Elephas maximus indicus: one gene and its partner. The protein of the gene in region 1 purifies or fractionates together with the protein of each later gene. This does not show direct contact. Links are inferred from orthologs where the notes say so. Each region holds a gene or a part of one and is shown on either strand. Other genes may lie near its edges.

What was found. The genes of interacting proteins can lie anywhere in the genome.
Region 2: the proteins of SMARCD1 (region 1) and ACTL6A purify together in Homo sapiens (affinity purification with mass spectrometry; 8 studies listed by BioGRID and IntAct, with this or other methods). This does not show direct contact. The link is inferred for Elephas maximus indicus from reciprocal best matches to the Homo sapiens genes SMARCD1 and ACTL6A.

The regions. Positions count from the first base shown.
Region 1 is NC_064822.1:105,498,164-105,506,249, reverse strand, and holds the start of SMARCD1 (SWI/SNF-related matrix-associated actin-dependent regulator of chromatin subfamily D member 1), read right to left. Parts: upstream 3,081-8,086; 5' UTR 2,854-3,080; coding exon 2,677-2,853; intron 2,034-2,676; coding exon 1,846-2,033; intron 1,568-1,845; coding exon 1,525-1,567; intron 1,431-1,524; coding exon 1,308-1,430; intron 837-1,307; coding exon 714-836; intron 1-713. Other genes in the region: ASIC1 (acid-sensing ion channel 1), read right to left, coding at 5,864-5,968, 6,132-6,236, 6,320-6,399, 7,239-7,330, 7,760-7,913. UniProt on the Homo sapiens protein: Involved in transcriptional activation and repression of select genes by chromatin remodeling (alteration of DNA-nucleosome topology).
Region 2 is NC_064819.1:35,368,322-35,375,723, forward strand, and holds the start of ACTL6A (actin-like protein 6A), read right to left. Parts: upstream 3,086-7,402; 5' UTR 2,886-3,085; coding exon 2,861-2,885; intron 2,832-2,860; exon of another isoform or gene 2,583-2,831; intron 1-2,582.

The DNA.
Region 1 (8,086 bases):
TTATTTGGATGGAATGACAACATCAGCAGATGGACTGGACTCATATAGAGAAGAAGAAGCCTCTGATACCAAGCCCTGGTTCTCCTACAAACATGCATTCAAATAAGCTTGCCTGTGAAAATCTAAAAATAGAGAGCTACAAAGTATAAGGGAATGAGAGAAAGGTGAGCTTCCCCAAGGAGCCGCTAGAGTGGGAAGTTTGGGGGCTACCACCTGTCAGCTGATGCTCCTTATGAAATGACAAGAGCCTGCCAGAGAAATCTATCTCACTTTAACAGCGAGGTGTCTCCAATAAAAGCTGGGAAAAAGGGAGATGCCTCAATAGGAATCAAGGACCTCAACGACTCAAGAGAGGAAATCATGGCTTCAAATGCCAACTGCAGACTCACTTGATTAAAAATAAATTAAAAAAAAACTAAAGTATTCTGCAGATACTGATAAATCCAATGGCCAGCAGCACCAGGAAGAACGTAAACAACAAATCAGATCCTAGGACAATATGGTTCTCGATATGCTACCACAGTGAGGGCCAAAGCTGTGGGAGCCAGACACAAAGAACCATTGTCTTCCAGTGCAGGGAACAGAGTTCCCCTCTCCCTGCTGCTCCCAACAGGAATTGTAAGCACCGGTCAGGCTTCCTGCTGACCAGACAACACTGCTTGTTCCCCACAGCTCCCACCCTAGACACCGACCACCATTGACCTTGAACTCACATCCTCCAGGAGCCGTCCTTCTACCCGAAGCTCCCAGGAAGCCACCGTCCCTTCCCCATCCTCGGCATCTGACTTAGCCGGATTGAAAGTGTTAGAAATGAAAATTCGCAGCTTCCGTTTTTGCTGAGGAAGGCAGAAACAGGATTGATGGCGGGGCTTCAGTGGTCTGATGCTGAAGGCTAGGGTCTCCCCAAACCCCAAAATTACTCCTAACATCTGGCTTACTGTCTATCCAGTCCCTGGGGTGGGTGAATGGAGAGTCCACCGAGAAGGGGAGTACAGGCCACTGATCTGAGCGTTGAGTGCATACACTGGGATAAAGTCATGCAGGGTGCCAGATCCCAAAGGCAGCAAAGCAGTTGTAACAAAAACATGGACAGGATGTATTTCTGGTGCTAGGGACATGAAAAGTTCCTCCCCCTCGCTGTTCTGTTCTTATGCTCCTAATGTAATTCTCAGTTTGTAGGCGGAAGGGAGAGATGCAATTTAAATGCCAAGGAGAGCTGTGCTGCGCCTTTAATTTCTCATGCTAAGCCTGCTGAAGGTTCCCGAGTCCTTTCCTTCAGCTCTCTGCCTAGCGCTCTCCTGCATTACCTTGATGGGACGTTTCAAGGCCTCCTGGATATCTAGCCGTTTCCTCATGATAGTCTGATCCAGCTTCCTTTCAAAAGCCAAGAGATCCATATAGGCCTGAGATTCTGGTACCAGTTCACGAATCTTAGGAACAGAAAGATATAATTGGCATCTAGAGCTGACCATCTCTATTCTCAAACTCACTACACTCTCAGGGAGATCTACAGCCTGGACTCACCCTTTGAGGTAGAATTTTGTCAGCCATCTTCTTTTTCTTTGCACTGTATGGAATAAATACTGTTATGAGGTTGGGATGGCACTAGTCAGAACATGAAAACAAGCTGTCAGCATCTCCATTTATATAAAGTGGAGGGGCTGCAAAGCTTCTCTCAAGTCAAAGAACCCCCTTGCCTCCAAGCAGCATGAGGCATTCTCAGAATGAGTTCCCCAGCACGCACCAGGCTGCTGACACAGCACCACCACTTCTTGGTTCACAGTACTCCCACCTGTGTCCTCACAGACCTCTTCCCTCCCTCCCTCTGCCCCAGGGTCATCTTACTTGTGGTTTCGATTTTGGACTGCCTGTTGCTGGACCTGCTGGATCTGCTGAGGCGCAGGTCTCTTGCGGGACTGATCCATCCCTGACTGGGCCAGGCCAGGTCGGACTGAAGGGTTCCCCCCATAGCCAGGAGGTCCCATGGAAGGTCCCTGAGGTGTCATTCGGCTGCCTGGCAGCATACCTGGTCTCTATGGAGGGGAGAAGACCCAGAGATGTCACGGCCTTCCTTGCTAACTTCATCCGGAAAGGGAAAGTTCGGCGTGCCTGAGTTCTTTGAACAAAACAGGACTGGGGTGTGGGGTGGAGGAAAATGAGGCGAGAGCCCTCTGACTCTTTGAAATATGGGCAACTTAGGTTTCCTCCACTCCAATCATGGTTCCACAGAATACAGCCAACTTATACTAAAATTCTCCCCAATCTATTTTGGATCTGACAGATCAAACATCTCTAGTCCCACACTGACTCTGCCAGCTATTATTTCCGTAAACGCTGACCCCAATTTACCAGCTCTACCTTCTGTCTTCCTCTGGGCACTGGAGCTGCTCCAGCCTCTCTGCACTCCAGACCTCAAATGCCCACCCCTAGTGGCCCCACTTCATCCACGCTGATCCTATAACCTTACTTCCTACGGAAACAATGCCCCTAGCAGCAGGTGGGGATGCTAACTGCTCCCCCTACTTTCCTCCCAACTGCCTTCCCCACCCCCATCCCCACCCCGGGCCTGAATCTTTCCAGGAGAGTCCCTCCTACTTCTCCCCGCACCCTTGTCACTCCCAGGCCCCCGCTCGGCCCCGCCCCCGGCCCGCGCGCCCCTCCTCCTGCCCCACTCACCGGATAGGCCGCTCCGGGCATCGGGGAGCGGTACAGCCCTTGACCCGGCGCCGGGCCCATTCGCACTGGGGGCCCCGGAGTCCCACCCGGGCCCAGGGTGGCCGCCGCGCCCGCCCCTCCTGAGGCTCCGGCGCCGCCGCTCGGGGCCACCGACTGGAAACCCGCCCGGGCCGCCATCTTCTCTGGAGCCGCCGCAGCAGCTGCACAAAGAACCGGAACCGGAACTCCCCCCGCCCCTTGCGCGCCCCCCGAGCGCCCGCCTGTCAGCCCGGCCAGCCGGCCGGCTCGGGAGGCTTAGGGCAGCAAGACTGTGGGCTAGAGTGGGGGGGACCAGCGGAAAAGGCTGCGCTGACCACTCCCTCCCGCCTTCATGGTCCAGGGTCGAAAACCATAGAGACGAACTCTAGGCTAGAGAGGCCCTGAGAGAGGGCGCCCCCAGGCCGACCGGAGGAAGAGAAAGACCTGGAGAGGGCACTCACAGACCCTGCCCTAAGCCTCTGAAGAGGGTGGCGGAGTAAATGCTTCATTTTGGCGCAGTACTTTTAACTTTCCAAAGCGCTTTGATTATCTTCCGTTTCATTCCCTTACCGCTATAACTCTGGGGGGCTGAGGAGAGGAACGCACTGTTTATTCCATTTTGCAAACGGGAAAATTGAGCTCAAAGAGGGTAAATGACTTGGCAAAGGTCAACCAGCAAGTTACAGCAGAGTCATTCCTAGGATCCAGATCTCTTGGCTCCTAGCCCGTAGTTCATTCCACGGATAAAAAATAAAGTGCCTTAATAACCACCTCACACTGGAACTTCAGCCCAACTTTGTCCCTGACCTTTAACCTAACTCGTTCCAGATTTAACATTCCAGTGTATCTTGAATTTTGATCCAGCTCTTCAAGGAATCCTTTGTGGTGGAGCTTCTCTTTGAGGTCTTTGTTGCTTTTGACCCCTCCCTCTCTCCCTGCCCAGTATTGTAGTTCAAACTAGTTCAAACCATTCCCTCGTGATGGTCAGCCTGCCCCATCCCAAGAGCATCAGGACCTCCCAATCAAACCCTCTCCTTACTCTTCATTCTGATTGGCCCCAAGCTAAGGTCCAGTGCTAAGCACTTCATGGGAAGACCTAACTACCTTTCAAATAAGTGAAGAACAACACTGAAGAGGAGATGGTTGAAACCCAGTTTATTAGACCAGACGCATGCGTCACGCAGAGTCCCGCCTGCTGTTCCCCCATCCACTGCACACTTCTTGGCCTTGCTACTGTTTCCCTTTGGGGAGGTCTGGTCTCTAAGCAACTCCTACAAACAAAGAGTTCCCAAAGATCCGACAGCCTTACTCACCAACTCCAGGCCAATGCACAGGTGACCTGCCCACAGATCCTGTCCTGGGGTTGGAGACCCAGAGACAGTTGAGCAGAAAACACCTAGGAAGGGATTGGGACTCTGGCCTGGGAGGAATGCCTGGGACAGGGGGTGGGGGGTGAGGGAGGCAGGCCCTCTCCATCACTCATCTCTCATTAAGGAGAGAGGAACAGAACAGCAAAGCTTTCAACTCCCCCTCTAGGCCTGTCTCTTTCCTCCTACTACCAAAGCCCACCTCGCCAGAAAATATGAGTGGTAGGCTTGGGTATGAAGAGAGAGAAAGGGGTTGGGCACCCAGAAGGAGGAAAAGGCCACTGACTGGGGACCTTCCTTTCTGCCTGTTTACACCCTGCTGCCCAGTTGCGAGAGTTACCAATCCCCAGCTCCCTTTTGTATCTGAAAAAAGGCTGCCAGCTTGGGAAAAGTTCTTCTTGGCTTAATTTCCAGAGCAGTCTTCATCTCCTGGGTAAGGACTATCTCTGTTACAACCCCTTCCCTGGGGAGGCTGCAGTCAGCCAGGCAAAGGGCATTGGGGTGGATGGAGCAGGGGACGGGAATGTTAAGGCTGCAGGGAGGGCAGAGGGTGCCCAGAATAGGGGGAGAGGGTGAGGCCAGAAAGAGGCAGAGCTTGTGATTCACAGCTTCCTTTATGTCGCCACCAAGACAGTGCGAAGGTTACAATGCGCGTGTCGTCTCCTTGTGCTTCTCAGAGGGATGTGTGTACACAGTACAGACACCAGGGGAGAGAGTCCAACTCTTTATACAGGCGAAGGCATTCAGAGACCAGGGAGGAGGCAGAGACACACAAGGGGGATCTTGGGGCGGGTGGTTCTCAGAGACAAGAGGGGATGGGGTGGAGACAGACAAGGTTGGGGGAAGTATATACAGAGATATAGCAATATAGAGTCTGTATCATATAGAAATAGAAAATGCAGATGAGGTTGTTGAGAGAAGCAAATGGAGTTGGGGAAGCAGACTTGGGGGAGTTCCATAAGAAAATTTATGGATGTGGCCCTCTGCAGGGGCCCCTGGGAGACGGACCAGTGAGGTCAGGCACCAGTGCTCCTCTCCCTGAGCTGGAAGCCAACCAGCGGGGTCTTTTATGGGACAGTGGAGGCTGTCTCTTGGGATTTCTCTCCAGCAGCTACAGCTCTGGGGTGAGGGTGAGCTTGTAGGTATCAGGATGTGGCCTACAGCACCAGGGCCACACCTTGCCCCCATATCTACTTCTTCAGTGAATCCCCCCACCCAGCCCCCTAAAGACTCCACATGGTGTGAGGGGATGGGACTGGGGTCTTAGATCCTGCCCAGAGACTTGGGGTTGGGTAGGTCACTGGGCTGAGAGGGTCGCTTAAGGCTGGGGAAGCTCCCTTCCACTAGCCCTCCCCCTCAAGGTACATTCTCTGGTTTCAGGAAAACTACAGACCCCGGGGGGAATCCCCTCCACCCCCCACTGGGAGAGGACTTTGGTGACTGGTGGCAGCAAATGTAGGTGGACACTCAGATGACAGACAGCCAGACAGACAGAATTCAGGCTGGGAGCTGGGGGAGGCAGCATGGGGCAGAGAGGGGCAGCCTAAGGTCCCTTGCCCCTTTCTCTCTTTTTAGTGTCTCTTAGATTAGTTTTGTTAAAAATTAAAAGAATGGAATAGAGGCAGGGAGAAGACCCTAAGGTCAAGACTCCTTCCTCACCACAGACAAGAAGAAAGGACTGCCTAGGAATGGGGGGCTGCCCTTAGAGTGGGGGGTGAGTCCCCAAGACAGATGGGGCTAGCAGGCCCCGTTGCTCTTCTAGCCCTCCCCATCTAGGCCTTTGGTACAGTGGCCTGCAGGGCTCAGCAGGTAAAGTCTTCAAACGTGCCTCGGGCCGGATGGTGAGGTAGGATGTTGGCAGCGTAAGTCATTCCAGCAGGATGGCCACGGAGGCTCTCGCACGGGTTCTAGGGGAAGGGCACAGGATAGGGACTGGTTATCGGAAGGGCCACAGGGGGCTCTGGGGCGTGGGGGAGGGAAAGGAGAGAAGAGGCCAAGGGCGGGGTGGCTGGTCCTGGGGTGGTGGGGGAGGAAGGCGGTGGGGAGGGCGCCCCTCGCTTGCTCCCTCACGTGTCTCTTGACGTCATCCAGGCTGAGGGCCACGCCCTTATCGGCACTACTCCTTTTGGCTTCCTTCTGACACTTCCCTCGTCGGCACAGCTTGTGCTTAATGACCTGCAATGGGGGTGCAGCGTGGGGGTGGGTGGGCTGGAATCCCGCCCCCGTGGCCCCGGCCCCGGGCCTCCCAGCCGGCTCACCTCATAGGCGTAGTCAAAGAGCTCCAGCACCGTGAGGATGCTGGCGCCGATGAACAGCCCCATCTGGCCCCCAATGTCACCTGCAGGAGCGGCGGGGAGGTCAGTGGGGTCCGGACACTTTGGAGGCCAGCCGGGCTCACTGGGACAGGGGTGGGCAGGTCGTATTCGCAAGGGGATTGGTAGCCTTCGTACAGAAGGAGCGCAAAGCCAGATTCTAGAGGGATTTTTCTTTTCTTCCCATAATGGTTAAGTCCTACGGCTGCTGACCAAAGGGTCGGCAGTTGGAATCCACCAGGCGCTCCTTGGAAACTCTATGGGGCAGTTCTACTCTGTCCTATATACGCTATGGGTCGGAATCGACTCGATGGCACTCTTTTTTTTTTTTTTATGCTTTTCTGCATTTTTCTACTTTTCTAGAACAGGTAATATTTCAGGAAAAACAATTGTTTACAAAATAACCGAACACTCTCAGTGTCTGGGCCAACTTTCAGGGATATGTACGATAGTCCCACATCCACCCCTTGCCCGGCGCTCATGGACATAGGCCTGTCTCTAAAAGAAGCCTTGGAGCCCTGGTGGCACAGTGGTTAAAGCAATGGACTGCTAACTGAAAGGTCGGCAGTTGGAAACTACCAGCCTCCCTGCAGGAGAAAGATGTGGCAGTCTACTTCTGTTGAGATTTACAGCCTTGGAAACCCTATGAGGTCAGTATGAGTTGGAATCGACTTGACAGCAGTGGGTTTTTGGACGAGAAGTGTCAGCCTCCTCTTCTCACCACATACTGAGACAATAGGATTTGGGGAAAGGCCCCTAGGGGTGGGGGAGCCTCCTGTGACAGAGGTAAGCACCCTGCTTTGGGTGGTAGGGGCCAGGCCATGTCCGTAGCACTGGAAGGGAACAGGTGCCATCAGTAGCTCACCCAGGAGCCCTGCAATCTCATAGGCCTTCTTCTGCTCAATGGTCTCATAGTTGAGGACTTCAAAGAAAATGTCCAGCACCAGGATGTTCTCCCTGCAGTGGGGTTGGGGGAGGAGACCTAGGTTCAAGTCATATCTCTGTCCCTTACTAATTGGGTGACCTTAGCAAGTTAACCTCTCAGAATCTAAGTCTCCATATCTATAAAATGAGATGCTAATGGAGCTACCTGCTTTGTGGGGTTGCTGAGGGTTAAAGGATATGTTCTGTACAAAAAGATACTATGCGCACTGGGAAGTGTGAACTGATCACACTTACAGCAGTGAGGATGAAGATAGAAGACCAAGCAGGGAGTGGGGAGAAAGGGGCTTTCCTCCTGCTTATTCTGACTTGATCTTCCCTCTATACCCACCCCAGTCTCTTTGGGCCTTCCCCATGTCATCTCAGCTTCCTCCTGCCTGTCTCCCATCAGACCCCTCATACCCTTCATAGTCCCCAGCTTAAGGTCACAGTCAGAGCCCTTACCCTATGTACTGCTCAGACTTGTTGAATTTTTTGGCCAGGTACTTGGCTGAAGCTTTGCTGGGGATCTTGACCATGGACAGCTCCTTGCCGTAGCGGGTCAGGTTGCAGGGCATTTCGCACACGCAGTACTCCTGGTCCTTTTCCACCAGGAAATCTGCACCCGAGCCAGGTGGGAGGCGCCAGTTGAGTGGTGGTCTTCTCCCAGCACCTTGCCCAAGGGAACCCTAGGCCCCCCGTCTCTTTTCCTGCCCTTCACCTCAGCCGGGTGGCCACCCATTGCTGATCCTCTCCCAGCCTCCCCATGAGTATTTCTTAATTCTAAATCTC
Region 2 (7,402 bases), on another chromosome or scaffold:
GAATGCCTCAATACTGTAACTCGAGTCCTGAATTTCTTCTTCAGTACTTTTGGCTTGAGAAAGGACAAGCGTGTTCCTCCCTTTTGGCTTTCTAACTCCAGATCTTTGCACACTTTATTAAAATACTTTGTCTTCTCCAGCCACCCTTTAAAATCTTCTGTTCAGCTCACTTTCTTCATCATCTCTTTCATTTGCTTTAGCTACTCCACGTTCAAGAGCAAGTTTCAGAGTCTCTTCTGACATTCATTTTGGTCTTTCTCTTTTCAGTCTTTTTAATGACCTTTTGTTTTCCTCATGTATGATGTTCTTGATGTCTGGTCTTTGGTCATCAGCGTTCAATGCATCAAATCTATTCTTGAGATGATCTCTAAATTCAGCTGGGATATACTCAAGGTCATACTTTGGCTCTCATGGATTTGTTTTAATTTTCTTTAACTTGCTTCAAGTTGAACTTGCATATGAGCAACTGATGTTCTGTTCCACAGTCGGTTCCTGGCCTTGTTCTGACTGATGATATTGAGCTTCTCCATTGTCTCTTTCTACAGATACAGTCGATCTGATTCCTATATATTCCATCTGGCGAGGTCCACGTGTATAGCTGCCATTTATGTTGCTGAAAATTGGTACATGCAATGAAAAAGTCAGTGGTCTTTCAAAATTCTATCACATGATCTCCGGCATCACTTCCACCACCAAGGCCGTATATTCTAACTACCAATCCTTCTTCATTTCCAACTTTTGCATTCCAATCACCAGTAATTATCAAGGCATCTTGATTGCACGTTTGATCAATTTCAGACTGCAGAAGTTGGTAAAAATCTTCAATTTATTCACCTTTGGCATTAGTGGTTGGTGCATAAATTTGAATAATAGTCGTATTAACTGGCCTTTCTTGTAGGCGAATGGATATTATCCTACGACTGGTAGGGTTTAATTCAGGATATATCTTGAAATGTTCTTTTTGATGATGAATTTGACACCATTCCTCTTCAAGTTGTTGTTACTGGCATAGTCAGCCATACGATCGTCCTATTCAAAATGGCCAATACCAGTCCATTTCAACTCACTAACAACGCCTAGGACATCAACCATTATGTGTTCCATTTCATTTCTGATGAGACGGGATTAGAGGCAGTTATGTTAATGAGGCAGGACTCAATCTACAGGATTAGGTTATATCTTGAGTCAATCTCTTTTGAGATATAAAAGAGAGAATCAAGCAGAGAGGAGATGGACCTCACACCAGGAGAGGAAGGGGTCCTTTGGACCCCGGGTTCCTGTGCTGAGAAGCTCCTAGACCAGGGGAAGACTGATGACAAGGACGTTCCCCCAGAGTCAACAGAAAGAAAACCTTCCCCTAGAGCCGGTGCCCTGAATTCAGACTTCTAGTCTTCTAAACTGTGAGAAAATAAATTTCTGTTAAAGTCACCCACTTGTGGTATTTCTGTTATAGGAGCAATAGATAGCTGAGACACCCTGTCAGGAAATACTTCTTGGATCAGTGAACCTAAAGTCGTAATAACATCAACAGCCTCCACGAGGCACAGGGCACATAGACGCTGTTTTTCTGTCAGGATTGCACCTTTAGACTGGGAAGACGTAAATCATGAAGATCCTCTAGGACCTCTCCAAAATAATAGTGGGAAACTACTGACTCTTACATTCAGAAATGAAAACCAAGGACATAAACAAAAAGGGAGAGAGGGGGCAAGGGTCCCTATACTACCTCAGAAGAGACTCTGAAACTACACTCCAAAAACTAAGAACTTTGAAGCTTTGTTTTTGTTTACCCCCTACCCAAAAAATGCCATCTTCAGAAAAGAAATCCCTACTAGAAACAGTAACAATGCCCATACTTTGGATTTGTCTCCTTGTTCTCTAACTCATCAAACACAATGCAAAATGTGAACCATATACATCAGTGCTTCAAATCACCCGGGAATCTTACAAAAATACAGGATCTGATTCAGTAGATTTAGAGGAAGGCCTAAGATTCTGCATTTCTACAAAGCTCCCACGTGATGCTTATACTGCTGGTCCATGAACCTCACTGAGTAATATGGATACGCATTATCTCAGTTTACCTTCACGACCACCCCCTCAGGTAAGTATGATCGTTCTCATTCCATAAAGGAGGAGCCTCAAGTGGAGAGGTGACTCGCCCCAAGGGCCGAACAAATGGGGCGGATGATATTACCGCGCAGGTCTGTGTCGGTCCCAGGCCCGCTGTGATCTTCCCCCACACCACAGCCTACCCACAGAAACAAACCAAAAGGCACGCGGGATGGCGGCAAGCTCTCTGCGACACCCTTCAATCACACGTGTTCCGCAAGTAATCCCAAACAAACCCGCCCACGAGGAACTCTGGGGACTCCAGTCAGGGCCCCCAGTCAGGGGTCCCAGTCAGGGACTCCAGTCAACAAAGCGCCGGGAGCTACTGAAGGCGGGAGGCATCGCGGACGGAGGGCTGGTCCCGAGCGGCCGCCGCGCCTCCAAGCCCTTCCGCCCGTCGCGGCGCGCTCTGCGATTCAGGCTCCACGCTAGCGAACTGCCGGACCTCCCAAGCCCGAGCTCACACGCACCCCGACGCGGCCGGCTGTGGAGACTCCGGAAAACGGCGGCCCCGAGCGGAGCTCCTGCGCAGCCCGAGCCCGAGCGCCCTCCAGGGGCCGCGGAAGGGCCCGAGCCCGAGGCGCTCACCGAGCCCGGGGGTCTGGGGCGGGCAGAGCGCAGGGCGGGGATGGGGCGGGGAGCCGGTCCCGAGTGGGAAACCCGAAAGGGCCGACGAGGAGGGATGCGGACGGCAGTCACGGACCCCACACTCCAGGAGCCGCGCTCCCTTCTGGCCGCACTCACTCACCTCCCCCGTACACACCACCGCTCATGGTTGCTTCTGGCGCGACGCCTACGCCACAAGACACCCGGCCAAGGAACCGCAGCGGCTGCAACTGCAGGTCCCACGACGCGTTACGCCGACCCCCTCAACTTCCAACGCCACGCCCCTCAGGCAACAAAGCAGCGTCCGCACACCCTGGAGCACAGCCACACTTGCTGGCCCCTCCTGCCAGCCAAACACGAGCGGCCCAGGCTACGCTCTGGCCATTCAGAATGAACCTATGCTGCTTCCCTGCCGCGGCTCAGCTAGTTTAGCCAATCGAAGGCAGCCATGGGGAGTGGGAGGGGAGGGAGCGACGCAAAGAGAGAATGAGTTGGGCTGCGGAACTGGAAGGGCGGGGCTTACCGGGGTGGGCGGGGAGAGTGTGGTGGCGCAGGAGGATGAGGAGGAAGGCTGGACGGCAGTGTCGGGGGCGGGTCCGGGGGTGTGGCTGGGCTGCGGGGAGCGACGGGAACCGGGTAAAGGAAGGCAAACCACCCGTAAAATAAAAAAAAAACCAAACCGGTTGTCGTGGAGTCGATTCCGACCCATAGCGACCCTATGGACTGAGCAGAACTACCGTTGGGTTTCCAAGGACCGGCGGGTGGATTCGAACTGTCGACCTTTCCTTTGGGAGCTGAGCTCTAAACCACTGCGCCACCAGGGCTCCAACCACTGGAAGTAGAGTCTAGAAATTCAAAGTGTTTTCATGCAGTGATTCCTGGCTTTGGAATGTGATGAATGAGGAATATTTTTTCTTTTAGAAAAAGTAGTTTTCACTAACTTTTATGTTGAAAAAATTAAAATATTTAGGGTACAAGGAATCAGTAAATCAAACGAACTGAAAGGATCCTGGAATTTTTTAAATGGTTGCTAATAATTTAAAGGAGAAAGACATAACAAGTAAATTTAGGTAGCACTTTATACTGTCATCCTTTATTTTTAATCCTGTGAGATAGGTTTCAATCAACCCTCATCCCAGCAACCACCTAATCCTAAATCTATCCTAATCCTAATCCTAAATCTATCTCCAGACTGTTCATAGTCCCCTGTTTCCACCCGTCTGGTCCAGTCCAGATCACAGTGGCTTCTTCCCTGGATTACTCCAACAACTTGTTACTCTGCCTTTTCACCACACTACAGGACGCTTAATCTTTACAAAATCTGGCCATGCCAGTCCAACTCGGACACTTAACGGTGTTGCATATCCTTGCGGTTAATATCAGTTCTTAAGTTAGTATATCTAGAGTTTGGACAGATAGCCGCTACTCTTTAGGATCGATTGAATAAAGCCCCCATCAATCTCAGAGCCAGCAGAGTGGGAAAGAGATGAGAATTGGGGTGCTGAACAGGGCTAGTGAGAAAACTCCCATTCATTTGACAATAGGACTATCTCACATCACATCTGATTATTTAACCCATCATTTAACCCAATGAGGTAATGCAGGGGTTTGCTAACTGTCGCCTGAAGGCCAAACCCAGCCTGTCATCTGTTTTTGTATGACCTATTACTAGAGCTAAGAATGGTTATTACATTTTTAAGAGTTTACCAAAAAACAACAAAAAAAATTTTTAAGCATAGTATTTCATGATGTGAAAATTTAAATTTTGGTGACCATAAACTACGTTTTAGTGAAACACATACAAGCTCGTTCACTTATAGCTGCTTTCACTCCATAAAAGCAGAGTTGACTAGTTGTAACAGAGACAGTGTGGTCCACTAATCCTAAAATACTTTCTCAGACCCTTTTCAGGAGAAGTTTGCCAACCCTGCAGATAACACATGTAATGGAGGGTGCACCGAGGTACGCTGTGTTAACTGTGGTCCCCATGATTGTAGCTCACTGTAGGGGCATCTCAAATCCCCAAAATGCTTCTACTTCCACTCTGTTTTTATGATGTGTTTGGCTAATAAAGCTGATGATTTATAAAATATTGTGATACTTTGATCTTTAATAGTTAAATATTGAAGAGATACTATTTGTAAGTTTTTTAAATTAGTAATGCATTTAATCAATTTAGCATTTGAATGCATAGTAATTCATAATGAAAAACTCTATCAATCAAGAACATTGTCTGAGACTTCAACTTGCTTACTTTGAATGCGTCATACTAGGTCCAGTCACCGGAGAAGGATATCATGTTTGTAAAGTTGAGAGCCAGCAAAGGCATGGGAAATCCTCAGTAAGATGGACTGATAGAGTGGCAGAATCAATGGACTCAAACAGGCCAACAATCATGAAGATGGTATGGTCCTGGGCAACATTTTATTCTATTATACATGGAGTCTCAGCTAACACACACACACACACACCAACTTAAATGGATTATACATACTGCTCTTATTAATATTATCTCCATCGTCTCCCGTGCATGGAAAAGAATATATTCTAGAAATAAGATACCTACCTTATTTGTGCAGCAGAGGAGAAGCCTGGGATGCTCAGACTGTCTTCTCCCACCATCTTCACACTGCAGTGCGGGGGGCAGGGGGAATCTCAGATATGATAGTACCAAGAAGAGAGCTAGAGAGAAGACTGCTAAGTCATGCTTGGATGTGTTTGATTTTAAAGGAAGGATTTTGCCCTCTTTGGTAATTTGGAGAAATATTAGAAAGCAGACCATTCATAATTTCAGGTCAGCCTGTTTTCTTGATGTATCACTGAACTCATTGTGTTTATTAACCATTGAAATGAGCTTCAAATGAAATGAACTTCTTCATGGTACATCTGATGTGTCAGTGCTCATCACATGTTAATGCAGATACAGGTGACTGTTAAGAAAGGACACTCATTGAGCTTCTTGGATCAGGTGGACACTTGGGACTATGTTGGTATCTCCTGCCTGGAGGGGAGATGAGAGGGTAGAGGGGGTTAGAAGCTGGCGAAACGGATATGAAAAGAGAGAGTGGAGGGAGGAAGTGGGCTGTATCATTAGGGGGAGAGTAATTGGGAGTATGTAGCAAGGTGTATATAAGTTTTTGTGTGAGAGACTAACTTGATTTGTAAACTTTCACTTAAAGCACAATAAAAATTATTAAAAAAAAAAAGAAAGGACACTCATTCAGCAGGCTAAACAAGCTGTTATACCATTGTCAATGCTGGGGAAACTTTTGCAATAGCAGCTTGTTTTCTTCCATTCTCATAATTAGAAAAATTAGTAGAAAATACATTAAAAGTATTAACCCAGCAGAATCTACTTTACCAAACGTGAAATACCTGAGGCTTTTTTTTCCTGCATTAATATTTCTCCTCTGTAGCCTAACACAAGGCGCTCTGGTAGCACAGTGTTAAAGCAATTAATAACAAAAAGGTGGGCGTTCGAAACCTCCAGCCCACTGCTTGGGAGAAAGACATCTCTTCCATAGAGATTTACAGTCTTGGAAACCCCATGGGGTCACTATGGGGATCACTCAATGGCAGTGCATTTGAGTGGGTACCCTAGTATGTTTTCTCTAATGTAAACTCTGCTACATTATGTTACAGATAGTTTCCCCCCCCCCCCAACTCAAGGAAGCCTCACGTGTGTCAGAATAGAACTGTGCTCCACAGGCTTTTCAATGCCTGATTTTTCTGAAGTAGATCGCCAGGCTTTTCTTCCAAGGTGCCTCGGGGTGGACTCGAACCTCCAACCTTTCACTTTGCACCACCCAGGAACTCCTACAGACAGCTAGTCAAATTTAAAAACAACAACAATAGATGCTACTCAAGGTTACTATCTGTCACTTCCATTTCACGGGCATAACATATCAAAATAGTCAATGCTTATTAGTTATGTCAACCTAAACCCAAAAGAGATTGAAATAGCATGTGTGTTAACTTACCTAGCCCACAGTAGATGCTCAGTGGTTGACTCTGAATCCAAATCTACAAAAACATGTGCACTTTCAAAACTCCTTTAGAAAATCCAAGCATCCAGACTGTCTTCCATGTACTGAGGGACAGCACTTGGTTTTGCCTCATGGAGGCACTGGTCTTCCATTCTTGTAATGCTGCATCTGGACACTTGGGATGCTACAGCTTTACTCCTTTTGTCACTGGCTCCCCAGTCCTCAGGTTATAGAATCACAGCAGTTATTGCAAAAAGACTGCTCTTGTCCTTTGTCTCAGCCTTTATTAAGTTTAGAGTTGAAAAAAACTGTTATTAATGCAATCTAGGATACAAATTCAGAACATTAGCATCCATCTGTTAAGACAGGTCCTAAAGGAAATGACACAAACATTCAGGTACACTTAAAATTATGTTATTTCATAACATAATTTTATATATGACACTAGCATTTATGAAAAGCAAATTTCAATGTGGACACTTCTGTCTGGATATAAAACACATGTACAAAAAGCCATTGTAAGCACCATCCTCTGTTTACTGAAGTTCTAAAAATATAACACTCATGTAGACACTACATAACAGAGAATGAATACCTGGAATTTAGGGTTTTTCAACAATAGAAATACGATCAGTCAGATTCACACATCTGTTTGCCATTAAAATTGTAAGAAATCTGCTAACCACCTCAATACCCCC